5 linked regions of the Xenopus tropicalis genome follow. The protein of the gene in region 1 interacts with the protein of each later gene in a biochemical or structural test. Links are inferred from orthologs where the notes say so. Each region holds a gene or a part of one and is shown in the gene's direction. Other genes may lie near its edges. The genes, in order: cdc25c, pin1, plk3, cdk1 and chek1.

Region 1 (3,428 bases):
TGAATTACAGAAAGCCTGTCTCCCATAGACTCCATTTTAATCAAATAATTCAGAATAAAACTGATTTCCTTTTTCTCTGTAGTAAAAAAGCAGTACCTTATAATTGATCCCAACTAAGATATAATGAATCCTTATTGGATGCAAAACAATCCTATAGGGTTTAATTAATGTTTTTTTGTAGACTTAAGGTAAGGAGATCCAAATTAAGGAAAGACCCCTTATCCGGAATAACATTGGTCTCGAGCATTCTGGATAATATGTCCTATACCTGTACTTATAAACATAGAATGTAAAGCTGAATTAAGCTACACATTGGGTAGGGATGGTTATGACTCCCAGCATATGTGATAGCTTTGAGCATTTCTAGCATACAGGGAGTTTTAGCCCTGCTGGAGGTGCACAAGGTGAATTTTTATGTACTGCACGAAGATTTAGACAAAGCACTAACGTATGTCCTAAATAGGAGGATTGTAGGGATTACTGTGGGCTTTTTTTTTTTTTGTTTTATTTTTTCTAATTCCACTAAGCACTAAGTTTTCACTCTGCAGCTGGCAGCCTTAATTCATGGAGACTTCAGCAGTTTAGTGGAGAATGTCTTTATAATAGATTGTCGTTATCCTTATGAATATGACGGCGGGCACATCAAGGTGAGCTGATGATAGTTGGTGGCTGATGATAGTAAACCTGAATCTTCTGTTTGTTCCTCTTCTACTTGGCTCACTCTTTTTTTTCCTTTTAGAAGAAAGTCTGTGGTTTTATTTCCTTTTTTATTTATTTCTCGCAACATTTCCCTGCAACTAATACTCTTATTTTGGTGTCACAAGGGTGCATTAAACCTCCACCGGCAAGAGGAAGTAACTGACTACTTCCTGAAACAACCTCTGGCTCCATCGGTGGCACAGAAGCGATTAATTATAGTTTTTCATTGCGAGTTCTCTTCTGAAAGAGGCCCAAAAATGTAAGTATTCATAAAGTTTGGATAAGTAGTGGAATTCTGAACACGACTCCATAGTCAGCCTCTTAAAGCAAATAAACTGGGATTTCTATTTTCAGAAATCCATAAGAGGGACATTAGTTTTTTTTCTGCTGACTGTATATGATGACTATATAACTTATCAATATGATCACCAGGTGGAGCAAGCAGTAAGTGCTACAAACCAGGTTTCATATGATTTTTCAGGACATATGGCCAAGGAAGGGTCTGTTTTCTATACAAGTTATAGCCACACAATCCACAATTTACTGCACTACATACTAAAAGGAGCCGCACACAATCTATTTTTATGCAGTCAGGGGGCTTTCCCCATTTATTGTGACCATCTGTGCATCAACATTTCAGGGGAGCAAGCAACATTTCATTAGGATCACAGCATGTGTGAAGTGTCGCCTAGTGGTGATTGGCAGATTTTCTCCAGAAAAACGCATGAATGTTTCTGGGCCAAAATCTAGCAAAATTCATGCCCTTCCCCACCATCATAATCCATTCTTTCCTTTGAATGGAAGAATTCAGTATTCTGAACACCAGAATTTGCTTCTGATTTGTAAAGACAGAGCCTTGTGTTTTTTGGAAAAAGAGCGAGGGGCAATAAATCTGCCCCTAAATATAATGTAAAATTAGAAAACCATTTTTGTATAGGAGCCTTGTTAGCAACCAGCAATCAAGACTCTTATCAACACAATGAGTGGGTTTGTGTACCATATAAATGTCACTGAATGTAAATATGATCTAGTAAAAGACGTATCAGAGAGTCTCCACTCTCATGCTTCTGTCAGTTCTTTCAATGTTTTATTTTAGGTGTCGCTTCCTTAGGGAGGAAGACAGAGCCAGGAATGAGTACCCAGGCTTGTATTACCCAGAGCTTTATCTCCTTAAAGGCGGTTACAAGGATTTTTTTCCTGAATACAAGGTACTAGTGTGTTTTGTTACTGTCTGTATACAATTTATTGAGTTTAGTGGTGTATTTTTTTTTTTATACATTATTAGCATACCACCAGTAGTGTTAACTGCTAGAAGTCAGCATTGTTGCACTGGGTCACAGAATAACCAGGTGTTATTGGGCTTGGTAGAAATTATACAAATGTATACCTCAACTAACTATTGTTAGTTATTCAGTCATAATTTCAATAATATCACAAACTGCATATACATATTTACCTTAACTGGCCTTCAACCTGGGGTTTCAGATTTATCTAGGAGAGCAAATAGGCATCCTCCCCAATTCCATTCCTTTAAAGCACCCCTTGGGGTGGGTGCAGCCCCACTGTTGGAGCCACTGGTAGAATAATGTCATACAAGCTTAATGTAAACTGACTGAATTGGAAAAAGACAGTTTGCTTCAAGAATACCAGCTTCTTTGTTTTCTAAGTAAAGGAGTCATATTTGATTTCCCTCCAACAGGAGCTATGTGAGCCACAGGGCTACTGCCCAATGCACCATCAGGATTTCCGGGAGGAGCTTCTGAAATTTCGGACAAAATGTAAGACATCAGTTGGTGATAGAAAGAGAAGGGAACAGATTGCCCGCCTGATGAAGCTTTAATCTCAGGGCTGCTAAACTCCGTAAAATTTTAATTTTCCTATACTACAACCATCAAGACTGCTACAAGTTGACAAAAAATTACCTTGTTTACATCTTTGTCACTGTGAATTTCTTTTTATTTTTTTTACTGTGATCTCTTTAATAACAGTATGTAAGAAAGTAAGTGATGAAAAGGTACCTGTACTGCTAATTGCTGGGAGTTCTTGTATGAATTAGTTCACTAGGTGGTGCTGTATATTTATCAATGCATTGTACACTTTATAAAGACATTAGTGTGACTGGCACTCCAATCATTGAATGGGCGTTAAAATGGAAGTGAGCCAGTGCAATCAATCTTCAAGGATAAACATAGTAAATCAATGGATTATTTGAAAAATACGTGGTCTTATGTCTCATTATTGGATCAACACCTAATGCAAGAAGAAATGAGCACAGCTCCTGAATGTAAATCCTGCCACCAAATGGTTCCATGGTGCAATTCTGCCATCCAGTGCCAACCGCAGGTATCTGGGATTCTCTAGGTTAGGGGAACTTTTGGATGCAGTGTGACATTTTTTCACTCACAATGCAGTGTCTTTCATATAATTTCAGTAACTGCTACTGAAGAATTAAAACATGTGCAATTATGCTTCACTGCGAATTGGATGCAGTGAAGGCGAATAATTTTGGGGCCGGTATCGCTTTGAGCGTTCAGTGTTTCAAAGACTTCATGATCCTTTAGGTGCAACTATGCTGCATCAACATTTCAGAGTGAAACTAAGATGAAGTCCAAGGAGTGGATTTGGGTATAAGTACCTTTGATTGAAATTATGACGGTTTGACTGCATCCATTTTTTGTAAAAATTAATTCAGTTTGGATTGAGTTAGGTAGGAAGATTTTTTTTTTTTT
Region 2 (3,963 bases), about 89 Mb from region 1:
TCATCTTTATTTTATTCTATATTATATATAAAGCTGGCAAGCTTTTTTTTAATAATGGCTGCTGTTATAAAAACGATTGAGCAATAAAATAAAGGGCTGTTGTTACAATTAAGCAAAACACACTTTCCCTGACCGGGAATCGAACCCGGGCCGCGGCGGTGAGAGCGCCGAATCCTAACCACTAGACCACCAGGGAAGGTTGTATGTGAAATTGCCAGATTTATTTTTCCAAATCGCCAGTCAGTTCTAAAACCAGTGAAATACTAGTCCAAACCCACTTTGAAAGTAACCCAAAAATAGCCCAATGTGCAATGAAAAAAATTCTACAAAAATAAAAGTACATATGGGAAAACCTGCCTTTTTAAAGCATATAATCACTACCCAGTTACTGGAATGGCTGATAATTCCCTGCCCTCTGTGCCCAGTCCAGCTGGGAAGTCGCTACAGAAATAGATTCAGAATCTTGCATTAACCCCAGACTTATAAATATGGGTGCGTTCAACTACAACTCTCAGCAGCCCCAAGATAACTACAGACCTGCCCCCACATCACATACCCTATAGAGCAGGGAGCAGAACATACAGGTTGAGCCTGAAAGAGCAAAAAGGAATAGAAAACGGAGCCTCTGGCTAAACTGCCCAATTGCAAGCTGGGTATTGTAGTTTTATATTACTCCTAGTTGTAGGCTAATTGTTAGCTACAAACTACATTACCCAGCATGCAGTGGAACAAGCACACTAGGGGAAAAAACTGGCTAGGTTCCAAACTACAAACCCGCCAAGGCTCCAAAAACTAGTCCAAAACGGTACTTTGGCGGGTTTGTAATTTAAAAACAAACCAGGGCTTTAAATTAGTAGCCCAATTTGGCAGAAAAACCGCTAACCTGCCACCCATGCTTGTGAGAGCAATTTTAATGCGTAAGAATAGAGAGAGACGCGAACACATTTCTGCGCATGCGTCATACTGCTGCCAATGCGTACAACCTCTCAGCCCCGCCCCTTGTTTTATTAATTACTCCGTTTATTCCGTTACAGCCAATAGTGGGCGCATATCATTTCCCGCCCTTGCTTTCGGTTTTCAGGCTGACTACGTCGTCGGCAGATTAGTTAGCTTAATGGCTAAAAGCTTAGCAGGGACTTAACCAATGAGAAGCGCCGAGCTGACGGAGTGGTTTGTGTAGGCGGGGCTTGGCCTGACGCAGGAGGGAAAGATGGCGGACGAGGAGAAGCTACCGCCCGGGTGGGAGAAGCGCATGAGTCGAAGCTCGGGTATATGGAGTGTAGCGGGCACAGTTGTTATATAGAGTTAGTGCAGCGCTGGTTTGCTTTGTAGCTGTTCCTATTTTATTGTGTCTTGCACTGTGCATAGCGTCCTGATAAAGGTGCTGTTGCAAAGCTGCAGAACTACAATTCCCACTTTGCATTGCGCATTATAGTATTTAGTCGCCTGTAAACAGACTAAGAAATGCTAAGCATTGACTGCTTCTGCTACTGTATGGGGCCATGACTGGTGCCCTAGTATCTGCACCTATCTGTTCAGTGTCATTTGTGTCAGAGTTCGATCTGTTCCTGCTTAGATGCTGATGTGTCTGTGATTAACATGGTGCCTTGTGGCTATGTATTGTATGTATCCTGCTCGGGAATGGTCTTCAGTCAGGAGCCAAGCAGGCAAGGCCCTTCAGAGATCCTTAGTGGGGCCTAAATTAGTACAGTGGCCCCTGGGAAAGGGCCGTGGTATAGTAGGGAGAGATGGTGCCTATAGTAGCAGTGGGGGGATAATAGCCTCTGGGAAGGGACTGGGGCTGTGGGATAGCAGGTATAGTAGGGAGAGATGGTGCCTATAGTAGCAGTGGGGGGTAATAGCCTCTGGGAAGGGACTGGGGCTGTGGGATAGCAGGTATAGTAGGGAGAGATGGTGCCTATAGTAGCAGTGGGGCGATAATAGCCTCTGGGAAGGGACTGGGGCTGTGGGATAGCAGGTATAGTAGGGAGAGATGGTGCCTATAGTAGCAGTGGGGGGGATAATAGACTCTGGGAAGGGACTGGGGCTGTGGGATAGCAGGTATAGTAGGGAGAGATGGTGCCTATAGTAGCAGTGGGGGGGTAATAGCCTCTGGGAAGGGACTGGGGCTGTGGGATAGCAGGTATAGTAGGGAGAGATGGTGCCTATAGTAGCAGTGGGGGGGTAATAGCCTCTGGGAAGGGACTGGGGCTGTGGGATAGCAGGTATAGTAGGGAGAGATGGTGCCTATAGTAGCAGTGGGGGGGGTAATAGCCTCTGGGAAGGGACTGGGGCTGTGGGATAGCAGGTATAGTAGGGAGAGAGAGCCTCTGGGAAGGGACTGGGGCTGTGGGATAGCAGGTATAGTAGGGAGAGAGAGCCTCTGGGAAGGGACTGGGGCTGTGGGATAGCAGGTATAGTAGGGAGAGATGGTGCCTATAGTAGCAGTGGGGGGATAATAGCCTCTGGAAAGGGACTGGGGCTGTGGGATAGCAGGTATAGTAGGGAGAGAGAGCCTCTGGGAAGGGACTGGGGCTGTGGGATAGCAGGTATAGTAGGGAGAGACGGTGCCTATAGTAGCAGTGGGATAATAGCCTCTGGGAAGGGACTGGGGCTGTGGGATAGCAGGAATAGTAGGGAGAGATGGTGCTTATAGTAGCAGTGGGGGGATAATAGCCTCTGGGAAGGGACTGTGGCTGTGGGATAGCAGGTATAGTAGGGAGAGATGGTGCCTATAGTAGCAGTGGGATAATAGCCTCTGGGAAGGGACTGGGGCTGTGGGATAGCAGGAATAGTAGGGAGAGATGGTGCTTATAGTAGCAGTGGGGGGATAATAGCCTCTGGGAAGGGACTGTGGCTGTGGGATAGCAGGTATAGTAGGGAGAGATGGTGCCTATAGTAGCAGTGGGGGATAATAGCCTCTGGGAAGGGACTGGGGCTGTGGGATAGCAGATATAGTAGGGAGAGAGAGCCTCTGGGAAGGGACTGGGGCTGTGGGATAGCAGGTATAGTAGGGAGAGATGGTGCCTATAGTAGCAGTGGGATAATAGCCTCTGGGAAGGGACTGGGGCTGTGGGATAGCAGGAATAGTAGGGAGAGATGGTGCTTATAGTAGCAGTGGGGGGATAATAGCCTCTGGGAAGGGACTGTGGCTGTGGGATAGCAGGTATAGTAGGGAGAGATGGTGCCTATAGTAGCAGTGGGGGGATAATAGCCTCTGGGAAGGGGCTGTGGGATAGCAGGTATAGTAGGGAGAGATGGTGCCTATAGTAGCAGTGGGGGGGGGGGATAATAGCCTCTGGGAAGGGACTGGGGCTGTGGGATAGCAGGTATAGTAGGGAGAGATGGTGCCTATAGTAGCAGTGGGGGGATAATAGCCTCTGGGAAGGGACTGGGGCTGTGGGATAGCAGGTATAGTAGGGAGAGATGGTGCCTATAGTAGCAGTGGGGGGATAATAGCCTCTGGGAAGGGACTGGGGCTGTGGGATAGCAGGTATAGTAGGGAGAGATGGTGCCTATAGTAGCGGTGGGGGGATAATAGTAGGGAGAGATCGTTTGCAGCTTATTGGCCCATGTACAGTGCTGCATTCATAAGTAGCACTATTTACAAAAAAATTATACATAAATGCATGTATGGTGACGAGAACTGAATTAGTGCGTTTATGTTGTCCTTGACTAATGGGTCTGCATAGGGCCATTTTAGAATCTGCTTTTTATTGGCCCAGAAGCCAGTCAATCTGAACAATCCGATCTGGCTCAGATCAAATGAGCAGATATGTTAATGTATGAGTAACGCTATGCTATGAATTCTCCTGCTTTTTTTTTTATACCCAGTTATGGCTGCTTGTGAGTATAGACGTAAGCAGGGAATAAATGTTCTTTTGACATAGCAAACTTTGGCTTTACTTTACTGCCTGTGTACTAGATACTCTTGCTGTACTTTATAATCAATATAGCTGTCCC
Region 3 (3,515 bases), on another chromosome or scaffold:
AAATGAGAGGTAAGGCATTTAAACCCTTGTGTTTTTTTTTTTTTTTTTTTTTTTTTTTTTCTAAGCCATGACCGGTAGCTTACTAAAGGGCTATAGTTATCATGCTGTGTAAAAAGTGGAGTAAAGCATTACCGGTGATGTTGCCCAATCGGCAATTAGATTTCAACAGTTAGAAAATCAAGGCAACGCATCTGATTGGCTGCTATGAGCAACATCACCGATGATGTTTTACTCCACTTTTTACACAGCATGATAAATATACCCCTTAATAGAGAAGCTGTCTTAAACCTAAACAGAATATGTAGTCTGGCTTCCAAAAAAATGACAACCAGCTGCTCTGCCCCTATTTTTTTTTTTTTTTTTTTTGGGATTTTCTTAATGTAGTTTTCTAAAGATTCCCATATATTTTGATATGGTGCTAGTAATCGCTTTATTAAATCTAAAGGACTATGTTCAGTTTGAGGAGTTATTGGTAGTTTTATTTATTCCCTGAGTGGGAACATTCTTATCCTGAGGGTTGCCTTTTTATGTAAATTCTAGCTGCTTTTTTTTTTTTTTTTTTCCCATGCTATTAACTGTTCAAAATGGTTTGCTCCTGTTTAGTCTCTTGCCCACATCTGGAAAGCCCGGCACACACTACTGGAACCAGAAGTGCGGTATTTTTTGAAGCAGATCATTTCTGGGTTGAAGTATCTGCACCTTAAAGGCATCCTGCACAGAGACTTGAAACTAGGTACGCAGACCTTTTAAAATACATACATTTCTCTTATATATAATGAGAAATATATTATATATAATATATAATTAATGCATTTGGAATACCTGACTAAAAGTCATCATTTTTTTTTGATACAGGTAATTTCTTCATCAATGAGAGCATGGAACTAAAAGTTGGTGACTTCGGATTAGCTGCCCGTTTGGAGCCCCCTGAGCAGAGAAAGAAGTAAAAAAAAATTTTTATTTATTTTTTTTTTTGCATTTGGCTCTCAAACACTGCTGGTAGTTAAAAGATATTTAGAATATATTTTTATTGGGTGAATGATTAGTGAGGTTGTGAAGTCTTCTGTAAGCTTGCCAAAATTCTTGCTTGAACAATGCATTCTTTTCAGGCTCTAAGTATGCAGTGTGCAGTAAAGTTAACAAAACTCCAGTGATTAGCTTAATGTACCTAGATGGTCTTGATCACTTGTGTCCCACAGAGATATTGTTGTCCACGATAGATCTCTGCTACTGTGGGCGACTAATCTCTCTGAAATGCCATTCCACTGGCAACAAAGGGGCGATTCCAGTTGTTGCTGGTGGAATGGTATTTCGGAGAGATTAGTTGACCGTGGTAGCAGATATCTATCGTGGGACATTATCCTAAGAGTTCATATCTAACTGACTTTATAATGTGTGTGTTTTGTTTTTTTAAAAAAGGACCATATGTGGAACACCAAACTACTTGGCACCTGAAGTTCTTTACAGGCAGGGGCATGGACCTGAATCTGACATATGGTCTCTAGGATGTGTCATGTAAGTTGTTGTGTGTGTTTTTTTTTTGTTTGTTCCTGTCACTGTACCCTTTTAAAGTGCAAGCTTGCTATTGGCATTTGAAGAGTAATGGGGCTTATGTTTAATATCCTTTTGGGACTATCCTGAACAGCAAGCAATCATTCATCCAAATCTTCCCCCAATTACTACACCTTGGCATTTTATATTTTTTTGGTTCCTTTTGCTTTGCATGACTGCCAAATATGGTTTTATAGGAAAACAAGTAGTTTTTCTAATTGTGCCCTTGGGGCAATGGCACATGGGGCAGTTTCAATTGTGTTGCCTGCTGTTTTTTAGTAGGGCCAAAGACTTGGCCTAAATGCTCAATTGGCACTTTTTTTAAAAAGACCATTAGCTGCAATCTATGCTTCTCTGGTGAAAATCTCTCATGTGCTAGTGCAATCGGACAAGTGACACTCATAGAGCATAACAGGAGAGACATGGAAAGTTCTTTCTGCTGTTTGTGGGGCTAAAACCATTCTAAGACCCATTGCCTAAGGCGTAGGTGGAGTCTTGCACAACTATTATGCATTTAGTGCCATGTATTATACTTTTTATGGTTGCAGTGCAGCTAACTTTCACGGTTGTACACCAGTACAGTGGTGTGAGCAAATTTATTTTGCACAGGGAAACCAGAATGCAATTGCAACTTTGTTCCACTTGTGAATCGCCCATTTTCTTTTCAACCTTGGTTTTTATTTTACCAATAATGCCAATGTGCAAAACCTTTAGACTATTGATGCTTTACTCTTAATGTGGCAAACTTTTACATGTATTGTTACTGCTTTTAGGTATACCTTGCTCTGTGGCACTCCACCGTTTGAGACCTCAGATCTAAAGGAGACCTACCGCTGTATCAAACAGGTGAAATATACCTTACCAGCATGTCTGTCCTCTGCTGCCAAACACCTTCTCATGGGAATCCTAAAACGCACCCCTGGAGAGCGACTTACACTTGACCAGATTCTAGAACATGAATTCTTCACAAAGGTATTGTCTGATAGCAGTGGAATAGAAGTCACATTTATTGCAATGAGAAAGCGGTTAACCATATTTCAAACTTATTTATTTGTTTAAGGGTTATACTCCAGACAAGCTTCCCCCAAGCAGCTGTGTGATGGTCCCTGACCTACATCCTCCCAATCCTGCAAAGAGCCTCTTCACTAAAGTTGCCAAAAGCTTGTTTGGCAAAACCAAATCAAAAAGTATGTATTTACTATTATCACTTTTTTTTTTTTTTATGTATTATCATGTAGACTGCAGATAACTATTGACATAGATAAATGTGCAGTAGTCTGAACGGTCTTTGTCCCTTTATGGTGAATTTGTTTTAGGTAACAAACTAGGTCATGTTTAAACTTAGGACACTGAACTGAAGGACGGGATTACTATAGGTGTGTCCTTCAGAAGTCTAGAAAACACAAATATTTGAATTTGCGGTGAAGTGGTTAAAAAGAAATGCACAGGTTTTCTTGACAGTCAGGAGGCTTGTGGACACTTTCTTATTATTGTGGTTTTTTTTATTTTTGCAGCAAAGAAAAGTCCCACTGAGGAGAAAGATGATATTTCTAAGATAGTCACAGGACTGGTTAAAACGTCCATCTGCAGACAGCTGAGTTATAAGACTGTGGATGGGAATGAGGTAAACTGACATGTATTTGGTAATAAAGTTGGAGTCCCTGGGTACTAGATTAGAAAAGATTTGGAAAATTTCCTACCTAACAATAAAAATATCAACTATAATCCCAAAGGAAGGCAACTGGCTTATCAAAAAATAGTTTGTCCTGTATAGTTTTGAGTAATGTGGAAAGCCCCACCCTTACGCATGTTTTCTATGCTCTTTGTAATTAGGTTGCCCCAGTAACTAGTCATGCTGTAAGTGCCAACTCCAGTCCTGTGGACACTTTGACAGAAGAAGCTTCTGGGAAATCTGTGTCACGTTCTATCCGTGGCAGTTTGGTCAGCAGTAGTGATGGTAAGCA
Region 4 (4,253 bases), on another chromosome or scaffold:
ATTCAGCAGGAACCGCCCCCTAAGTTTGCTCATAGCCTGTACAGAGAGATACTATAAAACTATGCAGCATAGGGATTACCCTGTACTAAGCACAATTCAGCAGGAACAGCCCCTTAAATTTGCTCAAAGCCTATACAGAGAGATACCATAAAACTATGGCAGCATAGGGATTCCCCTGTACTAAGCACAATTCAGCAGGAACAGCCCCCTAAGTTTGCTCATAGCCTGTACAGAGAGATACCATAAAACTATGGCAGCATAGGGATTCCCCTGTACTAAGCACAATTCAGCAGGAACAGCCCCCTAAGTTTGCTCATAGCCTGTACAGAGAGATACCATAAAACTATGGCAGCATAGGGATTCCCCTGTACTAAGCACAATTCAGCAGGAACAGCCCCTGCTGTTGTTAGTGTGAATTCCTGTGGTCCTCTTTACAGCTAATAAAGTGATATTCACTGGAGCCCACCAGTGCTCCAGTGAATGGCCAGATGGAAACCCTAGCTACTATTTCTTGAGTACAGTGACGCTATTGTATCCCACAGCCCTGGAGATCTTTAGCACTGTCCCATATAGGGTGAATTGGCCCTAACCTGCAAAATGTTGACCTGCACCCACATCTCGCCCTGCCCACGACCTGCACCCAACCCAGCAATGTTCTCCCAACCCATGGGAGAACCCTGATCACTAATCAGAATGGCCAAGGGGGTGCATGTGGGCACACAGGAATTATATTTTGTAACACATATGCCTACTCTGCTGCCCTCCGGCTCTTGCTGAAGCCCTCTAATAGCCAAATGCTTTGTGGGGGTTGCTGGGAGTTGTAGTTTACTGAGGTTTCAGGTCAGACACACAGAGCTACTAGTAGCAGCTACTTGCCACAGCTACTAAAATAGACAATGCAGATCATTTATTGATAATTATTTCTATATATATATATATATATATATATATATGTGTGTGTGTGTTTTAGCAGAGGCAATTCTCAGTATTGTCTATGGCAGTGTATTTTCTGGTATATAGTACCCATGACAAAGTAGCTCCTACTAGTAGCTCTGTGTGTCTCCACCCTAAGGGACCCCCTTTTACCTTATGTTTTACTACTTTATTTGTTATTGAGTGAAATCCCTGTGCCGCTATAGACACTGCACTTCCCGGATATTAGATTAAATCAGTATACAAAGCTAGCCGCCCGACCACTTCTGTTCCTAGCCGAGTCACGCAAACAGGTCTCTAGGATTTTATCCACATCACGTCCCCGCCCGCTGCTGTTTTAGCTACCCGCCCTTCCCAGCTTCCTTCGCGCCGTCACCGCTGCCTGATTCTTATTGGCCGCTTTGAATATCCACGGCCGCAGTGATTGGGTTAGGCTTGGACAGCGCTTTGCGCGGTTGGTTTGAAATCTCTCTGTTAGGCAAGCTGCAGCTTTAGCAGAAGGAAGCTGAGGTAGGCGAGGGGGAAAGGCCTCTTGGGCTCTGGGAGTTAAACGGGGGGCTTTGTTCTGCCGGAGGGTTTGCTGGGTAAGCTGCTGGGGCAGGTAAGGGGGGAAAGGGCTGTAGGGGGTACTTTTCTGCATTTTGCTTGCCCTGGCTGCAGAGTACGTGCTATGGGTGCCGAGTATCACCCTACACAGGGACTCAGGGGTCGGAGATGGACGCACCTGTCTGATTACAGCCATTTAATTGCCCCCTGTGTAATCATGCAGGGGCTGTCACTCATTAGATCTGCCCCCTCAGGCCCTTTAAATCTCCAGACATTTCAATTCCATCGGCTGAGCTTGCAGACTGCATTGATTGTGTTTGTGGGGGATGCTGGGACTTGTAGTCCATATCTGGGCACCTAAGCTTAAGTGCTATTGCTGTAGGGCTGGCTAGTAACTAGTTAAGGTGCAGAAAAGGGCTGGGGGAGTCACAACTGCCAGCCATAGACTTACAGAGCTGCTAGTTATAGTTCAACAACAGCAGGATTATGAGACTCTAACTGCAACTGCTTAATCATATCTGGGGATAGAGGTGCAGTTCAGCAGCAGGTTTGACAGCTTTATATTAGGCACCCAGCATAGGGCTGTTCTGCTGCCTGTTACTATGGGGTTGGTGCCATAATGTATATTGGGTTACTAAGGCGGCAGGGGGGTAGGAAGCCAGGGTCCCATTGTAATGTGATGGGGACAGGGCATAATAGTGACCAGACTGGAAACAAACAGAGGTGCAGTGTAAGGCAAGGCTGCCGGGGATTGGTCACGATGAAACGTTCGAATGATGCACCGAACAGCAGTATGGCAGCTGCCGCAGCTTAAAGGGCTATTGTACAGTAGCAGATGTATATTATACTGTATAAAGCACAGGGGCAGCTGTCACGTATGTGTAGGGCACCAGAAATGCTGCTTATTCTGATTAGAACCCAGCCACCGAGGGGCGCCGCTTAACTACAGTTTGTATATCACTAGGACTGTAATGGCTGCTTCTGTTTGTTTTACTAGTACAAATATATATCTATAGGCTCAGACAGCGCTTTAGTTATGTGTTTGTTTTTCTGATATCCCTGAAACGAGTGATCTCTATTTCTCCTCTGTGCAGGAATCCAGCCTTGAGGAACCAGCCATGGACGAGTACACTAAAATAGAAAAGATCGGAGAGGGTAAGTACAGGGGAATTCTGTTATGATTGTTGTGCTGCACTTTTCTCCTTGGGGGGGGGGGAACTCTGTTAATTATTCTTCTGCAGTTCGGACAGTTAAAGGGACAGTTAAAGCCTTGATGTGCGAGGCTGGGGGTCCTCAAACCAGTTTGCCTATTGATGTGCTTTACAATCTGCAAGGGGCACAGCTCTGTAGTTATGTAGGGAATTTGGCATATACATGGCCAGTCTATACCAGATTTACTCAGTGTCAGGGAGATCAATGGCATTAAAGGGAAACTAAAGCCACATTAGTTTGTACTAAAGCAGAGGCCTGCAGTGCCCTTACTCAGCTATAGAACTGCAGCCCCCTGCTCTAGTTTCTCTATCTCTGCACTAGTACAATCCAACAAAGGCCCCTGTTCATCCCCTTATTACCCTCTTTGTCTAGATTGCCTAGCTATAAAGAGAAGAATCGCCCAATATCCTGATGCACTCAATATGTACTAAGCTATATACCGGGTCAACCCAAAAGGTGTGGGAACCTCCCAGGGTCATATACAGAAAATGGATATAAATGGGCATTTTCCTTGCCCATTTCTCAAAGTGCTGCCAAGGAAGCCTGAAAGGGCGAAATACACACTGGGCTTTTTTCATGGGACATATGGAATCTAAATTTATTTTGCCAATGATGTTGGTGAGAAATAATTAGGGATCTATGTCCAGCCTGAACAACATGCATTCTGAGCATATTTGGTGCCAACCAGGGTGCCCAGCTGGCTCATTTTTTACATTCGGGGGTTGTGACGTGATCTCTAACTATGTAGTCCATGATTTATTTTAATTGTAGGTGTGTGTTTTTTGTATATTCCTTGCCTTGTCTGGGTAAAGCTCCTACAGTTCATGGGTTTCTGTCCCCCCCACTCTCCATTTTCTGCATTGCCTTGTATCTGTACTTGGCTTGAAAGCGTACTGGCACTTCAGGCCCAAAGGAAGGGCGCTGGGCTAGGGGGCTTACACAGCAGGAAGTGTAGGAACAGCAGTTGCCCTTTACTTCCTAATCTCCTGATGCACCATAGCAGCTTGCCCTGTTCCCCCAAATTGAATGCTAACCATAGTTAGGGTATGGGACCTGTTATCCAGAATGCTCGGGACCTGAGGTTTTCCGGATAAGGGCCTATCCATGACTTAAATCTGCTAAAAATCATTTAAATATTAAATAAACCCAATACTAGATACTGTTTTATTATTATTACAGAGAAAAGGGAATCATTTAACCATGAAATAAACCCAATAGGGATGTTCTGCCCCCAATAAGGGGTAATTATATCTTAGTTGGGATCAAGTACAGGTACTGTTTTATTATTACAGAGAAAAGGGAATCATTTAACCATTAAATAAACCCAATAGGGCTGTTCTGCCCCCAATAAGGGGTAATTATATCTTAGTTGGGATCAAGTACAGGTACTGTTTTATTATTACAGAGAAAAAGGAATCATTTAACCATGAAATAAACCCAATAGGGCTGTTCTGCCCCCAATAAGGGGTAATTATATCTTAGTTGGGATCAAGTACAGGTACTGTTTTCTTATTACAGAGAAAAGGGAATCATTTAACCATGAAATAAACCCAATAGGGCTG
Region 5 (3,515 bases), on another chromosome or scaffold:
GCCACACATGCACACAAATCAGAAGAATTTAGGAATTAGATTAAAATGTTACATACTAATTCTTTAGTTGCAAATTTAATTTTAATTGTAGTCCATTGTATGGCCATGACCAATGTCTATACTTTTTTTTTTTTTTTTTTATAGCATTGCTGTGTAAAATGTTAACAGAAAATCCACAAAGCAGAATCACCATTCCAGACATAAAGAAGGACCGTTGGTTCACAGAATTAATCAAGAAAGGTTTGTTGCTGGTATTTCTATACTCTAACATAGATAGTTTTGGGCACTGTATTGCATACCAGTATTATGTACTGCATGCTTTTAACATAGTTTGTCCAAAATTACTTGTATTTTAACATGTACTGTTGTCATGACGTAATGCTACTTACTGCATTATTATAAAATTGTGCTTTCCTAAATAGGGATTAAGAGAAGCCGTGCTTTCTCTGGAGGTACTTCAGATTCTTCTGGGCTTTGTAAGCAGATCCGATCAGATATGGAGATTTCAATCATCTCTCACAGGTTAGCTTCCTTGTTAATTAAGTTAAATTTTTATTTATGACTGTAAAACGATTAGTGATACTTCAGACAGCATAATATAAACATTTATGAAACTATATAAAAATTATGAAGGGATGCCTTCATCAATAGTTTACTCAAGCTTTAGTAACATGCTCTTATTTTCTGTCAAGTTAGAGGTATAGATTTCAGATATGTTATCATTCTAAAAAAGGAATTGGGAGCAAATCTGCTTCTATCAGCCTGCAGAAAAATTGCAAACTGAGAGCAGCAGAGCCAACGCTTGATGTGCCTATGGCCTTGGCCTTGTTATCTTCTACTTCAATTGTTAAATCAGCTTTAGGCATCTCAAGCAGTTGTGTAGTAAATGTCGATGAGCCACATCTGTGTCAGGCAGGAGTGGGTATGCGCAAAACACAGGAGTGATGCTCATGAACAAAAAAGCCCTATGTTGTAGTACAGAGGATAGGGAAGGAGGATGCATTGGCATTGATTATATACAGAAAAAAACAGAATGCTTATAGATAAAAACAGCTGGGAATTGGCATAGCATATGATGGGTTATCCAAGACAGAAAAACCAGTGTTCCTTGGTTTAGTAAATGTTTAGCTTTGTTGTCCTCTATGCACATATGTGACTTTCATGTGTTTAGGAAATATTAATAACTTTTTTTACAATATGAATGTATTAATGAATTTGATGCTTTTTAGAGGATATTTTTTAAATTAATAAATTGTAATTGTTCTTCTAATTAGTGAAGAGAAGAATGCATATTCTAGTACACAGCCAGAGCCACGGACTGCACTGGCAACATGGGACAGCAATGGTTCTCATATAGACAATTTGGTGCAGGGAAAAGGCATCAGCTTCTCTCAGCCTGCCTGTCCTGAAAACATGCTTCTGAGCAGCCAGTTAATTGGTACTCCAGGCTCCTCTCAGGTATGGCTTATTACTGTACAAATAATATTTAGACAGTTGTTCTTTCTCTTGGTTTAGCAAAATTAAGAAAAATATTAAAACCATGTATGTCCATTAAATAGGGTATTCTGTTTAACAAAGCTTGCTGGTTTTTGAATTTTCGATTGTGATTTCAGCACTGAATTAAATGTAATTTGTTTTTTATGAAGCTGCAAAAGCATAAGGGATGGTAATGTACAACATACAGAAAGCTTAAAACCACCTATAATGCTATGGTCTACATCATGCCTAATATCTGGCACTCCCCCCCCCCCCCCCCCCCAGGGATTTTTACTTTTCCTTCTCATTTAAAGGCTTTTAATTTTGTCTCTGTAAAGTGAATGTCACATCTTGAAATTTTTAACAGTGGCAAAACTGTTTGTATAGTGTAAAATGTTTAGAAAATAGCAGGGCTGTGGAGTCTGAGTCGGAGGCAATTTTGGGTACCTGGAGTCGGAGTCGGCAAAAAATGAACCGACTCCGACTCCTACTAAATTTAAATGGGAATAAAAAAAAATAAAGCAAATTTAAATGTCCCAATTCACAAACAGTCATAATTAATTACTTCTCTGCTATAAGAATAAAGCCCAATGCACGCAGTGCATAAATGAACACGTTGAGCGACCATGAAGCTTTTCATTGACTGTATGCTTCACTAAATGGGACGTAACGCACAGTTAAGGTGCGGCAGCTCCACTGCGTCGTGTTCCTCTGTTACTGGGAACACAATGCCCACTGTGAACCCAGCCTAACTCTCACTGATAACTAATTAAGTGAAAAAAATTTGCAGGACTAGAAATACTTGTATACATGAAGGGAATGGGTAGTCAATAGTTTAAAGGAACAGTAACAACAAAAAATGAAAGTGTATAAAAGTAACTAAAATATAATCTGCTTCTCTGCACTGTGTGTTTACTTCAGAAAATCTACTATAATTTATATAAATAAGCTGCTGTGTAGTATGGGGGCAGCCATTCCTGCACCGGTACAGCTGGGGTGTTTGCTACAGTAACCCTACTATAGTTTATATAAATACCGCGCTGTGTAGCCCCGGGGGCAGCCATTCCTGCACTGGTACAGCTGGGGTGTTTGCTACAGAAGCCCTACTATAGTTTATATAAATACCCCGCGGTGTAGCCCCGGGGGCAGCCATTCCTGCACTGGTACAGCTGGGGTGTTTGCTACAGAAACCCTACTATAGTTTATATAAATGCCCCGGGGGCAGCCATTCCTGCACTGGTACAGCTGGGGTGTTTGCTACAGAAACCCTACTATAGTTTATATAAATGCCCCGGGGCAGCCATTCCTGCACTGGTACAGCTGGGGTGTTTGCTACAGAAACCCTACTATAGTTTATATAAATACCCTGCTGTGTAGCCATGGGGACATAGTAGGGTTTCTGTAGCAAACACCCCAGCTGTACCAGTGCAGGAATGGCTGCCCCCGGGGCTACACAGCGGGGTATTTATATAAACTATAGTAGGGTAGCAGGGCAACAGTGTATTATATTTTTATTACTTTACAGCTCTTTTATTTTTTGGTGTTACTGTTCCTTTAAGACTGAAGCTTTAAAACATTTGAAAAACTGCTGTAATTCAGCTGTAATGTTAGCTTAAACTTTAAACATGACTATGGGATTCTAGGGAAATCATTAGAAGTAGGAGTATAGATAAAATTGTCTATCAGTTTATTATCAGTTCAGTTGTGTTTTAAGTGCCCCTTCCCCTTCCTGGATGTATAAAATACATTAGCATATTAAAAACAGAGGAGTCAGAGTCATGGAGTCGGAAGTATCAGAAACTGAGGAGTCGGAGTCGGAGAATTTATCTACCGACTCCACAGCCCTGGAAAATAGATGTTTGCATGTGCTATTTGTTTCAACTTTACATGGTTAGCAGTTTTAACATGGCCTGTGCTATTCAATTTTTGCCAACCTAGTTTTTTTTCTTAATTCTGTAGAATGTTTGGCAACGTTTGGTCAAAAGAATGACCAGGTTCTTTACAAAAGTGGATGCTGAAAGCTCGTACAGCAATTTGAT

What was found.
Region 2: the proteins of cdc25c (region 1) and pin1 interact in a test that uses a peptide from one of them, tested with the Homo sapiens proteins (2 studies listed by BioGRID, with this or other methods). The link is inferred for Xenopus tropicalis from reciprocal best matches to the Homo sapiens genes CDC25C and PIN1.
Region 3: of the proteins of cdc25c (region 1) and plk3, one has a biochemical effect on the other in vitro, tested with the Homo sapiens proteins (2 studies listed by BioGRID, with this or other methods). The link is inferred for Xenopus tropicalis from reciprocal best matches to the Homo sapiens genes CDC25C and PLK3.
Region 4: the proteins of cdc25c (region 1) and cdk1 form a complex in vitro, tested with the Homo sapiens proteins (3 studies listed by BioGRID, with this or other methods). The link is inferred for Xenopus tropicalis from reciprocal best matches to the Homo sapiens genes CDC25C and CDK1.
Region 5: of the proteins of cdc25c (region 1) and chek1, one has a biochemical effect on the other in vitro, tested with the Homo sapiens proteins (16 studies listed by BioGRID and IntAct, with this or other methods). The link is inferred for Xenopus tropicalis from reciprocal best matches to the Homo sapiens genes CDC25C and CHEK1.

What each region holds. Positions count from the first base shown.
Region 1 is NC_030679.2:47,982,871-47,986,298, reverse strand, and holds the end of cdc25c (M-phase inducer phosphatase 3), read left to right. Parts: intron 1-548; coding exon 549-647; intron 648-824; coding exon 825-958; intron 959-1,795; coding exon 1,796-1,907; intron 1,908-2,398; coding exon 2,399-2,539; 3' UTR 2,540-2,917; downstream 2,918-3,428. UniProt on the Homo sapiens protein: Functions as a dosage-dependent inducer in mitotic control. Tyrosine protein phosphatase required for progression of the cell cycle. When phosphorylated, highly effective in activating G2 cells into prophase.
Region 2 is NC_030679.2:136,780,423-136,784,385, reverse strand, and holds the start of pin1 (peptidyl-prolyl cis-trans isomerase NIMA-interacting 1), read left to right. Parts: upstream 1-1,161; 5' UTR 1,162-1,210; coding exon 1,211-1,268; exon of another isoform or gene 1,269-1,304; intron 1,305-3,963. UniProt on the Homo sapiens protein: Peptidyl-prolyl cis/trans isomerase (PPIase) that binds to and isomerizes specific phosphorylated Ser/Thr-Pro (pSer/Thr-Pro) motifs.
Region 3 is NC_030680.2:90,881,777-90,885,291, reverse strand, and holds part of plk3 (serine/threonine-protein kinase PLK3), read left to right. Parts: intron 1-603; coding exon 604-733; intron 734-855; coding exon 856-943; intron 944-1,419; coding exon 1,420-1,515; intron 1,516-2,324; coding exon 2,325-2,523; intron 2,524-2,611; coding exon 2,612-2,738; intron 2,739-3,065; coding exon 3,066-3,175; intron 3,176-3,384; coding exon 3,385-3,508; intron 3,509-3,515. UniProt on the Homo sapiens protein: Serine/threonine-protein kinase involved in cell cycle regulation, response to stress and Golgi disassembly. Polo-like kinases act by binding and phosphorylating proteins that are already phosphorylated on a specific motif recognized by the POLO box domains.
Region 4 is NC_030683.2:16,801,145-16,805,397, forward strand, and holds the start of cdk1 (cyclin-dependent kinase 1), read left to right. Parts: upstream 1-1,451; 5' UTR 1,452-1,517; exon of another isoform or gene 1,518-1,534; intron 1,535-2,573; 5' UTR 2,574-2,597; coding exon 2,598-2,634; intron 2,635-4,253. UniProt on the Homo sapiens protein: Plays a key role in the control of the eukaryotic cell cycle by modulating the centrosome cycle as well as mitotic onset; promotes G2-M transition via association with multiple interphase cyclins.
Region 5 is NC_030683.2:74,049,180-74,052,694, reverse strand, and holds part of chek1 (serine/threonine-protein kinase Chk1), read left to right. Parts: intron 1-144; coding exon 145-240; intron 241-422; coding exon 423-522; intron 523-1,274; coding exon 1,275-1,458; intron 1,459-3,435; coding exon 3,436-3,515. UniProt on the Homo sapiens protein: Serine/threonine-protein kinase which is required for checkpoint-mediated cell cycle arrest and activation of DNA repair in response to the presence of DNA damage or unreplicated DNA.